Ovis aries: one gene and its partner. The protein of the gene in region 1 interacts with the protein of each later gene in a biochemical or structural test. Links are inferred from orthologs where the notes say so. Each region holds a gene or a part of one and is shown on either strand. Other genes may lie near its edges.

What was found.
Region 2: of the proteins of BMP1 (region 1) and CHRD, one has a biochemical effect on the other in vitro, tested with the Homo sapiens proteins (3 studies listed by BioGRID and IntAct). The link is inferred for Ovis aries from reciprocal best matches to the Homo sapiens genes BMP1 and CHRD.

Annotation. Positions count from the first base shown.
Region 1 is NC_056055.1:43,402,956-43,410,416, forward strand, and holds part of BMP1 (bone morphogenetic protein 1), read right to left. Parts: intron 6,574-7,461; coding exon of another isoform or gene 6,488-6,573; exon of another isoform or gene 6,213-6,487; intron 5,894-6,212; coding exon 5,768-5,893; intron 2,767-5,767; coding exon 2,639-2,766; intron 2,296-2,638; coding exon 2,082-2,295; intron 124-2,081; coding exon 1-123. UniProt on the Homo sapiens protein: Metalloprotease that plays key roles in regulating the formation of the extracellular matrix (ECM) via processing of various precursor proteins into mature functional enzymes or structural proteins.
Region 2 is NC_056054.1:203,590,549-203,598,009, reverse strand, and holds part of CHRD (chordin), read left to right. Parts: coding exon 1-48; intron 49-405; coding exon 406-547; intron 548-663; coding exon 664-804; intron 805-886; coding exon 887-969; intron 970-1,045; coding exon 1,046-1,193; intron 1,194-1,350; coding exon 1,351-1,457; intron 1,458-1,594; coding exon 1,595-1,714; intron 1,715-2,365; coding exon 2,366-2,522; intron 2,523-2,855; coding exon 2,856-3,076; intron 3,077-3,498; coding exon 3,499-3,612; intron 3,613-3,926; coding exon 3,927-4,199; intron 4,200-4,274; coding exon 4,275-4,368; intron 4,369-4,489; coding exon 4,490-4,546; intron 4,547-4,818; coding exon 4,819-4,922; intron 4,923-6,265; coding exon 6,266-6,368; intron 6,369-6,784; coding exon 6,785-6,939; intron 6,940-7,081; exon of another isoform or gene 7,082-7,103; coding exon 7,104-7,206; intron 7,207-7,461. UniProt on the Homo sapiens protein: Dorsalizing factor. Key developmental protein that dorsalizes early vertebrate embryonic tissues by binding to ventralizing TGF-beta family bone morphogenetic proteins (BMPs) and sequestering them in latent complexes.

The DNA.
Region 1 (7,461 bases):
AGCCTTCCTCGGCTACAATGACCCACTCACAGTCCACTCCCCCTGGGTAGTTGTTGTCGCCAAACTGGGCGTGGGAGTAAAGGTCCTTGGTCTTCACCTCTGCCCGAACCTGGCCACCACACTCTAGAGGGAGGAGGGGGACACAAGGTTAGCTGCTGCCCCGGAGCAGAGTCGTGGCCCAGGCACTGTCCCTCCCCACGTGCAGCCCTCCTGGCCGGATGGAGGCCCTGGGACAGCGCCACATGGCTAGAGATAGGTGGGTTTGGATCCAGCCCAGGACTTGGCCTGGAACTAGTGCTCTGCTGCTCTTTCTCTGGAAAGATGCCCACGGAGGCCCGGGGACACGGCGGGTGAAAGGCCGTTCTCCATGGAGGCCCCAGGGAGGGTGCACTTGTTGCAAGACAACGTTGCTAATTTGCTCCAGTTCATAGCTGTCATGGAAGAATGCGGGCTCTGTGACGCCAGAGCTCCCGTTCTTAAGCGAGAAGATGTCCATCTGGGTTTTATGTGAAAACTCCTAATTTTTAAATGTTGGCTCGGGTTTTTAAAAAACACATTGTGGGCCAAACATAGCAGCTCTGAGAGCCATATGGAGTTCCGGGCCTCCAGTGTGTGACCCTGTGCTGGGAGGGGCCGATGAGGGCAAGGCCATCCGTGTACAACTTCTCTGAATGTCCTCTGGCCTCCAGGACACCTGGGCTCACGGTGGGGGTTGTAGGGGAGAGAAGTAGGTGGGCAGGCCTGAGCTGAAGGGAAGGAGGGGAGGCTGTCGACCCATCAGTTCTGCGACCTCCCCAACAGGTAGCTTAAGACTCCAAGAGGCCTACCAAGCCCTCAGAGACCACGGCTGGTCTGACATCCCAGGCCTCGCAGGACTAGGCTATAGCCTTTCTCTGCAGCCACACCATCCCCAGTTGACTGCTGTCATCACATGCCCACTGTTCTAGCCACTACATGACCTGCATTCACTTATGTACACCCAGAGCTATCTGGAGTTGTGGCTGTGCTTGGGCTCCTCTCCCACCTGCAATGACCCATCATCTCATACCCAGAGCAAGGCCCTGATCGTGTTTTGTCTTCTGTTGGAATTATCTGTCTGGGTCCCATCTCACCCCCAGGCTGCGGGTTCCCAGGTGGGCAAGGTGAAGGGCTCATGGCTGATTCATTTCCCCATGCCCCTCTGAGTCCCCTGCAGGGGGCCAGGGCTCCATAAAAAGTCGTTGAATAAACGAATGAGTAGATGCAGAGCAAATCCCTCAAGGACTGACCCACACTCAGGATGCTGTAACATACATGCGGCATGTTAATGAATGAACGAGTGGATTTGGGGGGTGGGATGTGGATGGGCCACTGCACAGTCAAGTGTCCTGCCACTAGGGACTCCAGAGATTCCCTCCCCATCTCTGGGTTCTCTACCCCTTGTTGTTACTGCCCTGTTTTCTGACCTTCATACCCCAAATCAGGACTTACCCTCCTTTGCCCAGAAGGCTTACTTTGCTTTCAGTAATATTTTTAAAAATATTCAGTAAATATTTTTTGAGCACCTACTGGGGCCAAGAACTAGTCTAGTTGCTACAAAGACAGCAGGGCCAAGACAGAAAGTTCCTGCTCTGTGAAGGTTTACTTCTAGGGGGGCAAGGAGAGTAGATAATAAGCAAGTAAACAAATATATAAGATAATTCCAGTTGGTGAAAATAAGCACATTGGTGAAAATAAAGCTGAATGATATATAAAAAAAGAAGAGGGCATTGCTTTATATTAGATGGGCAAGGAAGGTCTCTATACTGAGGAGGCATTTGAGCTGAGTCTCAAATAATGAGGTAGAGCAATGATTCCAGGGAAGATGATTTTAGGTGTTTCAAGCCAGAGAACTGCTGGTGCAAAGGTCCTGAGGCAGAAATCAGCTTAGCAGCCTTCAGGACATGCTGTCTCCCCACCTGGCCAGGGGCTGGGCCTGTCTGTCTTCAGGAGCTTTTTGTATACCCCCATCCTAGCCCCCAGTCTGCATTTGAGACCAGAATCAGCAGATGCCTTCAGGACAAATGACTGCATGAGGGCACCTGGCCTACAGCGGGGATCACCTGTGGAGTGGGACGCCTGGAAGCCCTTCCTCTGCACGGAGTTGTCAGAGTAGAAGCGCAGGAACATGCGGTTGCCCGTGGCCAGGACAGGCTCGGGCTTCTTGCTCCCGCAGAAGCGGCCCAGGACGGGGGCCTTGGCGTCACGCCCGTCATACACCTCCAGGTGGTCATAGGCACACTCAGGCTGGGACTCGATGTCCATCTCCATGAAGGTCTGGAGGGTGTGAGGGAGAACAGAGAATCAGGAATATGGCCAAGGGCAGGAGACGTGGGCAACAAACCAAGACCTCTGGACCCCAGTTCAGGACAGTGGCCGCTGCTGGTGGATGGGGAGAGGGAGGACCTAGGAATGGGGCAATGGCAGGTATACCCCACCATGATGCTGGGGAAAGGGCCTCTGTCCAGGCTAGACTTGCAGTTCCCACAGGGATGCTGGCCCTGTGGGCTCAGCCAGTCGCCAGCCTAAGGCGCTCTGAGTGACGTGAGGCTTTGGAGCTGATGGGAAGTAGGTGATGCGTAGATGGCATGGAGGAGCAGGCCTGGGAGTGGCACCTTACCAGCTTGACCCGGTGCCCAGGGGTGCTAGAGATGGCCCAGGTGCACTCCTTCTTGCTGGGGTACTTGTCAGGCCAGTTGGGACTGGTGATGGTGCCGCTGCTGGATGTCACCTTGTGGTCACAGCCCGCTGTGGGGAGGTGAGGCAGGGAAGGGGATCAGTGGGGACTCCTGGGTTCTAATGGCCCCTATGAAGAAAGGAAGGAAGCCGTTTCCTCCCTCCCACCCACTCCTTTCTTGTTTCTCTTGTCTTCCACTTAGAAATGAGCTGAAGGCTCACACGACTTGTTTTCTGTTCAGCCATCCAGCCTGGGGAAATCTGGCTGCTTGGTTCCAAGCTGGCCCTCGCCTGGCAGCACCTATGGAAGCAGCCCTCCCAGGTAGCCTGTGGACCTTGGAGGCCATCTGGCCACACCTCCTCTGCCCCCATCCTCTGATCTCCTGCCACGCTTCCGTGTTCACAGAAGACTTTGGCACCTGACTCAGTTCTCTCCACTCCACTCCTGCTACCATCCTAGGTGACGTCAGCAAACCCGTGGATGGTCCACCCATACGCTGACCTCCCCTGACCTTCTCAGTTCTGAGTTCTCACTTCCTTCCCCACGAGGCTCTGCCGTCACCCACAAATTCTTGGTGCTGGTGGCTACCTCTCATTCTTCCAGGGCACTCAGTGCCAGCGCACCCCTCTCCCCATTTCCCTTAACACCTTGTCAACTTTAGAGAGACCTCCACGGTGTTGATCCTTCTGGTTTCTCCCAATACTTCCTCCTGGGTTTACTTACCTTGCTTCTCCATCAGCTGGACCACACGGCCCATCACCCCGATTGCTCATCAATGGCCATGCTTGAACTGTACCATCTTGGAAAACCCCATTTGTGGTCTCTAAGTGTGGCTGGGCCCCCACTGCTTGGTATTCTTTGGACTCACCCTTCACCAGCTCAATCTCTCACCTCCTCAGCTACGGCTCCAAACCTTTGGCCCTCTCCTCAACTCCCAGCTCCCCCTCCCAGCAGACCACCTCCCCTCTTGCCTCCTGGGGAAAGGCAGAGTCTGCAAATATGAACAACTTCAACTTCCTGACCCCTACCTGCAAACTCACCTTTCCACTCACCTTCCTTCCTGCCTCATCTCAGAGAAGGTGCCCCTCACCCTGGGCAGGAGTAGATTTTCCTTCATGAGCTGGAGCTCACTGCTGCCCACCATCCGGGGACCTCTATATCACACGTTACCCACGCTCGCTCTCTCTGCCAGCTCATCCAGCCCACGAACCTTCCTATACTTTGCGCATCCTAAAACAACACTCCCTTCTGACTACCATCCCTCGTATCTCCCTTTTCTTCAAGAAAACGTGCGATGTCACGTTCTCACTGCTCATGACTCCTTGATCCATGGCAATCTGCTTTCTGCCTCGGAAAAGCACAGCCTCACAACTCCAACTGAAATGCTGATGCCCTTTATTCCTTATCATCCAATCTGACAGGTCCCTCTGAGGAAAAGCCAGTGCACTGCTGGGATGAGAAGGAAAAAGGGGTGGGTGGTGTGCAGCCTACACAGCCGCGCCTGCAGTCAGAGGCTCACAGGATGAATGCAAGGCCGCCAGGGTCCAGAGAGGAACAGGGCCCTCTCGGGCTGTGTGGAGTTGCTGGTCTCCACATTTGAGCTATGAGCTGCTTCTATTACTCATCCTCAGCTTTCCTTGTCCACACTCACTATCTCCCCACTTTTACTGGTATTCCCCGCCCTCTAATTTATTTCCACATCTGCTTCTCTTCCCAGCTAGATAGCAGTCTCCTCGAGAGCAGAGGGGTCCCCATCTTTAATTCCCCACAGAACTCTGCACGGTGCTGCACCCTCTGCGGGGGGCGGGGGTGGTGGTCAGGAAATACTGATTTGTTGCTAGCCCATCACTTGAGTAAGGAACCATGTGTGCTTCTCAAGTGACTCAGAGCCACACACAGGCTACCCTCCCAGGAATTTTACACCTGCTCCTGCTCTCTTGTTGACGCTGGTGTGGAAGGTTCCTTAGCAAAACCTTCATTTTCATTGAGAGCACAGAGAGGGCATGCAGTTTAGAAACAGCATCAGAAGGTCCTCCCCCTAGCTAAAAGATGTGGGGGCTCCATGAGTCAGGTGAACTCCGTATCTGGGAGACTGAAGTGGGGGTGAAAAGCTCTGGAGTGTCTACTCAGTGCTTCAACAGTGTTTATTCTAGTTGGCAGTTTATTTACTGGCACCTTGGTTGTCCACACAGTGACGGTGTGGAAGAGGCATCTGCCAGGCCCTGTGCTATGTGCTCAAAGCAGGGGCTCGAAAGCTTAGGGCCACCTCATGAGACAGCTGAACTCAGAGGGGTGAGGGACTGGCCCAAGAGCACACAGACACTTAAGGTCAAAGGCGAGTCTGCTTTGTGTAGCTGGGGACAGTGCATCACCAGCTGGCATGGGCCACAGTGGTATTGATCAGAGGGAGCAGGCCAGGGCTGTATTGTGTACGAAGAGGAGGTATCACGTGATATGGGAGAGGACACGAGAACTGTTTTTGAGCTTCTGCAGAGCCTCAATGTCAGGGAGGCCGCAGCCCTGTTCTAGGTGTCCCTGGGGGTCAGAGTACGTGACCAGTAATGGTGACACACGTGATCGTGCTTGCTACGAGCCAGGCACTTCTCGGAGCACATCACAGTGTCACCGCCCAACCAGGCAGCACCTACGAGCAAATCCAGGTGTGGAGGGAGGGATTCAGCGGCTCAGGGCCCACAGCTGGCTAAGAGGTGGGGCTAGGCCAGGCAGCCTGGCTCCAGAGCCCAGCTCTTCACCACTATCCCAGCTCACCTCCCTGACAGAGGGAGGCTGGAACAAAGAGACACACCTGAACATGGATTTGAAGGAGCGCTAGTTACCAGATCAGCTTGACAACAGGGCCTGGGGATAGCTGCAAGCCCCTCCCCTCCGTAAGTGTGTGTGTCTTGAATGTTGCTGGTGGAGGGAGGAGCATGGAAGGCGAAACGAGGTGACCTCAGAGGTCACTCAGCTACTTGAGTCCAAACAGAGGCCGAGGGAGACGGCATCTCTGAGCCCTTTCCACGGTCTTGGTTCTCAGGCTGCCAGCTGGCCATGGGCACTTGGGCCACTTACCTTCCTTGCAGTCATGCTTGTTGTCGTGGAGGACGAAGCCACTGCGACATTGGCATTCGTAGCTGCCGAAGGTGTTGACGCAGTCCTGCTGGCAGCCGCCGTTGTCCTTGGAGCACTCGTCCTTGTCTGCAGGGGAGCAAGCAAGGGAGGACCGGTCTGTGCAAGGGCCAAGGGCACTGGCACCCCAAGGGAAGTGGGGGGCCTGGCCGGGCATCCTCCCCACCCTGGGGGAGGCAGGGCAGGGAGCGGAGGTCAAGGCGATGGTGGGGGTCCAGGGCACTGCCTCATGCAGAGCCAGCTGAGGGGGCCCAGCTGTGCGGAGAGAAAGTTGAAATGGACGGAGGGAGGGTTGGGGTCTGGAGCTGACCAGCATGGGCGCCCTCTACCATTACCTGCTTACTGGACAGACGGACAAGTGGAAAAACAGACACATGGACAAGCAGACTGCAAGAGAAAGGAGCAGGACGCAGGGGTCCCTCTTTTACTTCACAACAGGAAATGTCACAGACACCATCAAAATGGGAGGGGGCGGGGGGCAAGGAGGGGCCCCTGTCCATGTGAGGGGGGTGGGGGCGAGGAGAGCACCAGTTCTGTCCGGCCAGAGGGAGGTGGGCCGGCAAGGCCGAGCGGAGGTGGGGGTGGGCGGCTGCAAAGCCCCCAGCCCATTCCGTCCAAGGTGAGGTTCCTGAGTAACAAAGAGTCCGGGAGGCCAGGCTGGCCTCACTGGGGGGTCCGGTTTCTTTTCTGCACTCGGAATTTGAGCTGGTGGGGGCGTCCCCGGGGGGGCTGCAGAGCTGGCCTCTTTTCTGAAACGAGAGAGAGAAGGAGAAAAGGGACCGGGGGGTGGAGGGCGGGGGCCAGGGAGGGAGAGCATGAAAACCAGGCCTGGCTCCGAGGCGGGGGTCCATGGGCAGGGCAAGGGGCGGGGTGGGGGGGCAGCAGGACACACATGCAGGATGGCCATGTCCGGCGCAGCCAGGTCACGGACGGGCAGCGGGGTGGGGCGAGGCACAGCGACAGGGGACGGGTGGGAGGAAGCCTGCGGCAGGGACAAGGCCTGGGTGTGAGGAAGAGGCCGCACGCTGGGGAAGGAGACTGAAGTCTGGCAGAGGGGAGCGGGCCATGGGAAGGGGCCTGATCCAGAACTTGGCTCTGTCCTCCTGGTGCTGTGGCTACAGAGTGTGTTACAGACAGACACACCCTCACATCAACACAGCAACAGACACAGGATCCCTCACCCCACACTGTCCTCCTGATCCGGCAGCAGAGACACCCACCCACAGGGACACACACACACAGGTGCACAGGATACACACCAGCCCCTCTCACACAGACACCACATGCACACACATCGGCCATCAGCCACCTGTGCACATGTGCACAAGAAAACAGATGCTGGTTGCTCACTCCTCACATGTGAGGAAGCACACGCAGGTGCAAACACAGGGGGGACAGCTGCCCTCAGGGCCCTGCACGTGGTACAAACAGAGACACACTCAAACGCAGAGACCCTGGGCTGACCAGCGACCTGCAGAGGGCTCATACATCCAGCTGCTCCGGCTCGGGTGGGTCTGAACATGCACACTCCCATGAACACAGAAACTAATACACAGAGAGACACATGGTCACAGGCACGCTGTACGTCACACACACATGTTCTCCAGTCTCTCTGCAGTCATTTTGGGCACTGGGTG
Region 2 (7,461 bases), on another chromosome or scaffold:
GGCAGCATCCTGTTTGAACACCCTGCAGCGCCCACCCAAGATGGCCTGGTGAGATGATGCCATTTATGAGTGCTTATCCCATCTGGGCACTATGCTGAGAGCATGCTCTACATTGCCTCCTCGGGTCCTCACAACAGCCCAGTGGGAGAGAGGCACTGACATTATGATGCCCATTTTACAGATGAGGGAACTGAGGCTCAGTAGCAGAATGTGATTTGTTCAAGGTCATACAACTAGTTGGTGGAGGATCTGGGATTTGAACCCTGGCATCTGGTTCCAGGGCCCTTTCTTACACATCCTAGGAGAGCCTGGGGACAGCTTCCCGTATTCCTTTCTCACCAGACATGGGCCTCTCAGCAGGCATGTCCTGTATACTGAGAGGGCCTTCTTGTCTCTCTGCTCCAGGTCTGCGGGGTGTGGCGGGCAGTGCCTCGGTTGTCCCTGCGACTCCTTAGGGCAGAACAGCTGTATGTGGCACTTGTGACACCCACTCACCCTTCAGGGGAGGTCTGGGGACCTCTCATTCGGCACCGGGCCCTGGCTGCAGGTGAGGGGAGCCAATCTCTCCTGGACGTGAAGTTCAGAGTCTTCTTGGCCCCCCAGAAATGGAGTGGGCTGAGGGGGGCACTTTCTGATGGGCTCTCGTGGTCCTTTTTTCCCCAGAGACTTTCAGTGCCATCCTGACCCTGGAAGGGCCCCCACAGCCAGGCATAGGGGGCATCGCCCTACTCACTCTCAGTGACACAGAGGACTCCTTGCACTTTCTGCTGCTCTTCCGTGGGCTCCTGGAGTCCAGGAGTGGGGGTAAGCGGGATGGGGGCAGACACGTGAAGAGGGTAGGGAGAGCACCCATCTTTCAGAGGTTCCATGTGTGTGGCTATTGCAGGACCAGCCCAGGTTCCCCTGTGGCTCCGGATTCTACACCAGGGGAAGCTACTTCGAGAGCTCCAAGCCAATGCCTCAGCCCAGGTGAGTGAGGGTCTGGCTCTAACTGCCGCCTGCTCTAGCCTCTTGCTGTGCCCACCGCACCCTCCTCTGCCCCCAGGAACCGGGCTTTGCTGAAGTGCTGCCCAACCTGACAGCCCAGGAGATGGACTGGCTGGTGCTGGGGGAGCTGCAGATGGCCCTGGAGAGGGCAAGTGGGCCAGGGCTACGCATCAGTGGACACATTGCAGCCAGGCAGAGCTGCGATGGTGAGGCAGGGTGAAGCCGGGCACCCCGGGCACACACAGTGAGAGGCACAGCAAAGTGCCAGAGGAGGGGCCAGGGTGGGTACAGGAGGGATCCTGGGGGCTGGGGTGTGAATGGCCGTGGGGCAAGCCTGCGTCCACCTGTCCCTCCCCTTTGCAGTCCTGCAAAGTGTCCTTTGCGGGGCGGATGCCCTGATCCCAGTTCAGACGGGTGCAGCGGGCTCAGCCAGCCTTACACTGCTAGGAAACGGCTCCCTGATCTACCAAGTAAGAGTCAGGGGTGGGGCAGGGGCGGTGCAGGAGGTGAGAAGGCAGCAGGGCAGGGCGGGGCTTTAGACTACAAAGGTTCAGGGCCCAGCCCTTCTCTGCTACTCTCATTTGCCCTCCCCACTCCTGCCCTCCAGGTACAGGTGGTAGGTACAGGCAGTGAGGTGGTGGCCATGACGCTGGAGACCAAGCCTCAGCGGAGGAACCAGCACACTGTCCTCTGCCACATGGTTGGACTCCAGCTGGGAGGACACAGGGTGAGTGCTTCAGGAAGACCAGGGCCGCAGGGCCCAGGCAGCAGAGTTGACAGTGTTAGGGGGCCGTGGGAAGCCTGTTGGATGAACAGGGATGTTTGGCATTATTCACTCACTTGCAGTCTCTCTCACTGATGCATTGATTCACTGGACTCATTTTTTAGTGAGCCTTGGGCTAAGGACTGCAGTACAAAGAAAATCAGATGTGGCTCTTGTCTTCAGGAAGCTTGTATCCAGTGGAAGGAGTTACATAGGGAGGCCAGTGCAGCAGATCATATAATGTTAAACATAATAGCAATGACTGCCATTTATTATTGATCCTTTCTAGATGCCACAAACTGCACTGGTTGCCTTGCTTACATTATTTTTGGCCCTCACATTACTCATCTAACAGATGATGAAGAGAAGGATCAGAGAGCTTAAATAATTCCTCAAGATGGGTTGCATAGGTAGGAAGTAGCAGAGAAAGTTCTTGAACCTGGGCCTGCCGGTTCTTAGCCAGTGTTACTGGTGCATGGCAGTGTGTATGGGTTTAGTAGGGATGCACAGCAGCATGGAAAGGGTTCAGAATCTTGGGCTTGTGTGAAAGCTGAGGAGGGTTCATCCGGGGCCTGGCAGGCTGCAGTTTGGGCTCACTCTTCCCTGCCCTCTCAGGCCGTGGGTATCTGCCCTGGGCTGGGTGCCCGGGGGGCTCATATGCTGCTGCAGAATGAGCTGTTCCTGAACGTGGGCACCAAGGACTTCCCAGATGGAGAGCTGCGGGGCCACGTGGCCGCCCTGCCCTACAGTGGGCACAGCGCCCGCCATGACAGTGAGTGCTCCAGGGGTCTGCCCCCACCTTTGGTGTCCTCTAATTCAAGCATGTGAGGGATGGTGCGAGAGGGCCAGAGCCTGGCACTTCTTTCTCTGCACCTGAGCTCCAGTTGGCATCTGGAGAAGGTGAGGATGTTCAGGGTGGCCCTGCCGGGAGATGGTCCCTCTCACCACAATGCAGGCCTCTCCCTTGCTGCTTCCCCAGCCCTGGGCCTGTGGACAGTGCCTGCTAGTTTGTGGAGTCTGTGCCGAGGGAGATGGGAAATGCTAGGGTTAAGTCACTGCTCTCAGCCATCTTCTCATTAGTCATCTCTTCTCTGTCTGGATCCAGCACTGCCTGTGCCCCTGGCAGGAGCCCTGGTGTTGCCCCCGGTGCAGAGCCAGGCAGCAGGGCACGCCTGGCTCTCCCTGGACACCCACTGTCACCTGCACTATGAAGTGCTGCTGGCAGGGCTTGGTGGCTCAGAGCAGGGCACCATCACTGCCCACCTCCTCGGGCCTCCTGGAATGCCGGGGCCCCGGCGGCTGCTGAAGGGATTCTACGGCCCGGAGGTGAGGAGGTGTTGGTGCGAGGCAGTTTGGAAAATAGCTGCTTTTTAGCATGAAAGGCTCTGTGGGCCTGGGCAGGGGAAACAGAGAGCAGGCAAGCCTCAGGAGTCAGACAGACCTGGGTACGAATCTGGTTCAGCCTTTTAGTATCCTTTTATCCACCTGTGTCCTACTCTGCTGGGATCTCGTGGGTAGTTTGTAATGTCCTGGACCTCCAAGGGGTGGGTGGGATGGACCAAGCCCCCGACATGGGCTGGGTTGCTGTAGACCTGGGGCTTCTGAGCTCTGCACCATTGCTGATGGGCTTGCTTCTCTGGAGACCTTACTTAACTTCCCTGGGTCTCAGTTTCCTTACCTGAGAAACTGGGAATGGCAGGCTTAGTCCGAGAGTGCCTTGTTCTGTCCCCTCTTCTGTCTGCTGCCAGGCCCAGGGTGTCGTGAAGGACCTGGAGCCCGAGCTGCTGCGGCACCTGGCTCAGGGCTCTGCCTCCCTGCTGATCACCACCAAGGGGAGCCCCCAAGGGGAGCTGCGAGGGCAGGTAGGGAGGCAGTGCGGGCCTGTTGGGATGGGTCAGATTTGGGTGAGTACTGTGGTGCTCTTTGTTAGCCACTTGCCCTCTCCGAACCCTGGGGGCGGTAGAATTGCACACACTGCCTAGCTCGCTGAGAGGATGAAGCCAGACTAGGTACTTAATGAGGCAAGAAGCTGACCACCTGTCCTTGGTGGCTGGGATGAGTGCTGTGGCTAAGAGCATCCTTCTGGGGCAGAGTGGGTGCTCTGGGTGTCTTGGCTGCCACTGGTGGAGATGCAAGAGGGAGCCTGGGTGCTGCCTCAACCTGCCTCTCCTCTCAGGTGCACATTGCCAACCAATGTGAGGTGGGCGGCCTGCGGCTGGCGGCAGCAGGGGACAAAGAAGTGCAGGTGCCTGGGGCTCTGGAGGCGGTGGCGGCCATGGTGGCCCCACTGCCCGCTGTGCCGGGCCCAGACACCTCAGCGCCAGCCAGACCAGGTGGCCCCGGTCGGCTCCGAGACCCCAACACCTGCTTCTTCGAGGGGCAGCAGCGCCCCCACGGGGCTCGCTGGGCTCCTAACTATGACCCGCTCTGCTCACTCTGCACCTGCCAGGTAGGAGGCCCCGGAAGGGTGCACTGGGGCCTGGGTTCTGGAGCCCCGGAACCAACCCTCAATCTCTCCCTGCAGAGACGCACGGTGATTTGTGACCCTGTGGTGTGCCCGCCGCCCAGCTGTCCAAGCCCAGTGCAGGCGCCGGACCAGTGCTGCCCTGTGTGCCCGGGTGAGTGCCCTGCAGGAGTGGAGAGGTCATGGAGGGTCCACCATGGGGGGCAGTGAGGCCTCTGGGGAGGGAAGCAAGAAGGGGGCCAACCTCTGCCTTCATTATTTCTTTGGATCCACAGAGAAACAAGATGTCAAAGACCTCCCGGGGCTGCCAAGGAACAGGGACCCTGGCGAGGGTGAGCTGGAAGTGTGTGAATACAGGGGTGGGGAGTCAAGCGGAGCTGCTGGGTAGGATGGGGGGTAGTGGGAGGGGGAGTGTATTTACTGGGATGGAGGTGGTTGAGGGGCACAGGTCACAACTGACACCTGAGAGGCTTCATTAAAGGCCTTGGCCCACAAGTGGGCCCTGGGGCTAGACCACTGTGGAGTTGGCCTGAAGCTCCAGCCTGGGTTGTGGACCTAGGTAATGAACTCAGCACTAATGGCGCTGGGCACTGTCTCCCACCAGGCTGCTATTTTGATGGTGACCGGAGCTGGCGGGCAGCAGGCACCCGGTGGCACCCTGTCGTGCCCCCGTTTGGCTTAATTAAGTGTGCTGTCTGCACCTGCAAGGTATGGCAGCCCAGCTTTCTCTGATGCTGGAACCCCTAAGATCTTCAGAGTGGGAGAGGGGGCTTCTGGGAGAGGAAAGCCCAGTCTTGGTGGTCAAAATAATAGGAGAAGTCCTTTGCACAATCTTTTCAGAGGGTGGCCACACCATGGGACTTGGGCTTCCCTGGTGGCTCAGATGGTAAAGAATCTGCCTGCAATGCAGGAGATCTGAGTTGATCCCTGGGTCAGGGAGATCCCCTGGAGAAGGGAATGGTAGCCCACTCCAGTATTCTTTCCTGGAAAATCCCATGGACAGAGGATCCTGGCAGGCTACAGTCCATGGGGTCGCAAAGAGTTGGACACCACTGAGCAACTAAGCATAGACAGCACACACACCACATGACTTGCAGGACCCCAGACGGAACGTGGACCCATGGCAGGAAAGTGCTGAGTCCTAACCACCAGGCCACAGGGAACTCTCAGTCCCTGGGCTTTGAGAGTTGGCTTCCTGTAGGAAAAGGGCAAGGGCTGATTTGGGTGAATTCTGGCTCTCCCAGCTGACTAGCTCCATGTAACCCTGGGCACTTTCTGTATGTCCCTGAGTCTCACTTTGCTCGCCCAGAAGCAGAGATGGTTCCACCTACCTTGCAGGGCTACAGTGAAGATTTGAGTTCAGGTATATAAAGCCCCAGGCTTCCCAGATGGCACTAGGAGTAAAGAACCCGCCTGCCAGTGCAGGAGATACAAGAGATGCAGATTTGATCTCTGGGTGGGGAAGATCCCTTGGAGCAGGAAATGGCAACCTACTTCAGTATTCTTGCCTGGAAAATCCCATGGACAGAGGAACCTGGAGGGCTACAGTCCATAGGGTTCCAAAGAGTCAGACATGACTAAAGCGAATTGGCACGCATGTAAAACCGCAGTCCAAGCCCTCTGGGCTTCCCTGGTAGCTCAGCTGGTAAAGAATCTGCCTGCAGTGCAGGAGACGCTGGTTCGATTCCTGGGTTGGGAAGATACCCTGGAGAAGGGACAGGCTACGCATTCCAGTATTCCTGGGTCTCCCTTGTGGCTCAGCTCGTAAAGAATCCACCTACAATGAGGGAGACCTGGGTTCAATCCCTGGGTTGGGAAGATCCTCTGGAGAAGGGAAAGGCTACCCACTCCAGTATTCTGGTCAGGAGAATTTCATGGACTGTATAGTCCATGGGGTCACAAAGAGTTGGACACGACCGAACAACTTTCACTACAAGACCTCTGAGTGAAAAAGGTCACACGTCTGAGGTATACGAAAAGGAAAGGAGGAGGCAGAAGGCTTGCATGTTCTGCTTTTCTCCTGACACCCTTCACTCCATGGATCCCTGCAGGGGGGCACCGGGGAGGTGCACTGTGAGAAGGTGCAGTGTCCCCGGCTGGCCTGTGCCCAGCCCGTCCGTGCCAACCCCACTGACTGCTGCAAGCAGTGTCCAGGTAAGGGGGACAGGGGCCCCGGGGCCTCTAGGGGCAGATGAGGCTCTTCATGCCTTGTCCTGGGTGGGGCGGATGCGTGGCGAGGGGATGCCTTTTGAAGGTGGAGGAAAGGGATGTCTTAGCTAATTCAGCATTTACCCAGCACTGCTCTCTGCCTAGCCTGAAGTTAGGGATCTACATGCAGCAGAAGAATGTGCATGTGTTAGTGGGCTGTGATGGGATCCAGTTCCTGTCCTACCCACCCATCCATCCACCCACCCATGCACCCACCCCCCCACCCATCCACCCATCCATCCATACAAATTTATTACCTACTAAGTGCCAGAAACTGCTAGGTGACAAATATGGCCTGGATGGCCCTCACAGAGCTCACATCTACTGATCTATTTCTCCTTACCTCCTCTCCCTGCCAACAGTGGGGTCAGGGGCCCACCCCCAACTGGGGGACCCCATGCAGGCTGATGGGCCCCGAGGCTGCCGTTTTGCAGGGCAGTGGTTCCCAGAGAGCCAGAGCTGGCACCCTTCAGTGCCCCCCTTTGGGGAGATGAGCTGTATTACCTGCAGATGTGGGGTGAGTGGGGGCTTGTGTGAGGTAGGCGTTGGGGACCTGGCCTGGGGGAGCGGAACTTCCCAGGGAGGGTAGGCTCCTGGGGGGCGGGCTTCCCCTAGGAGGCTGAAGGTCACTGTGCCCCGGCACCTCTGGGGACCCTCAGGATCTGGTCTGTCCTGCACCAGGCAGGGGTGCCCCACTGTGAGCGGGATGACTGTTCACCGCCACTGTCCTGCGGCCCAGGGAAGGAGAGCCGCTGCTGCTCCCACTGCACGCCCCGGCGGCGGCGTAAGTGCGGGGTCCGGGAAGCCTGGGGAGGGGAGGGAGCACCGGCCATGTGCCAGGCGCAGTGCCCTCTGCTGCACAAGTGTGGTCCTGTCCCCTCCCACAGCAACCTTGTAGGCTTCGTCTCCATTGCCTTTTCTTCACCAAGGAATTTGCTGACCCTCAAAGGGATCAGGCAACTAGGCTAAAGTCACACAGCTGGTGTGTGCTGACTTGCTTCAAGAATTCTGACCTTTCTGAGATCAGAACAGGGAAGCT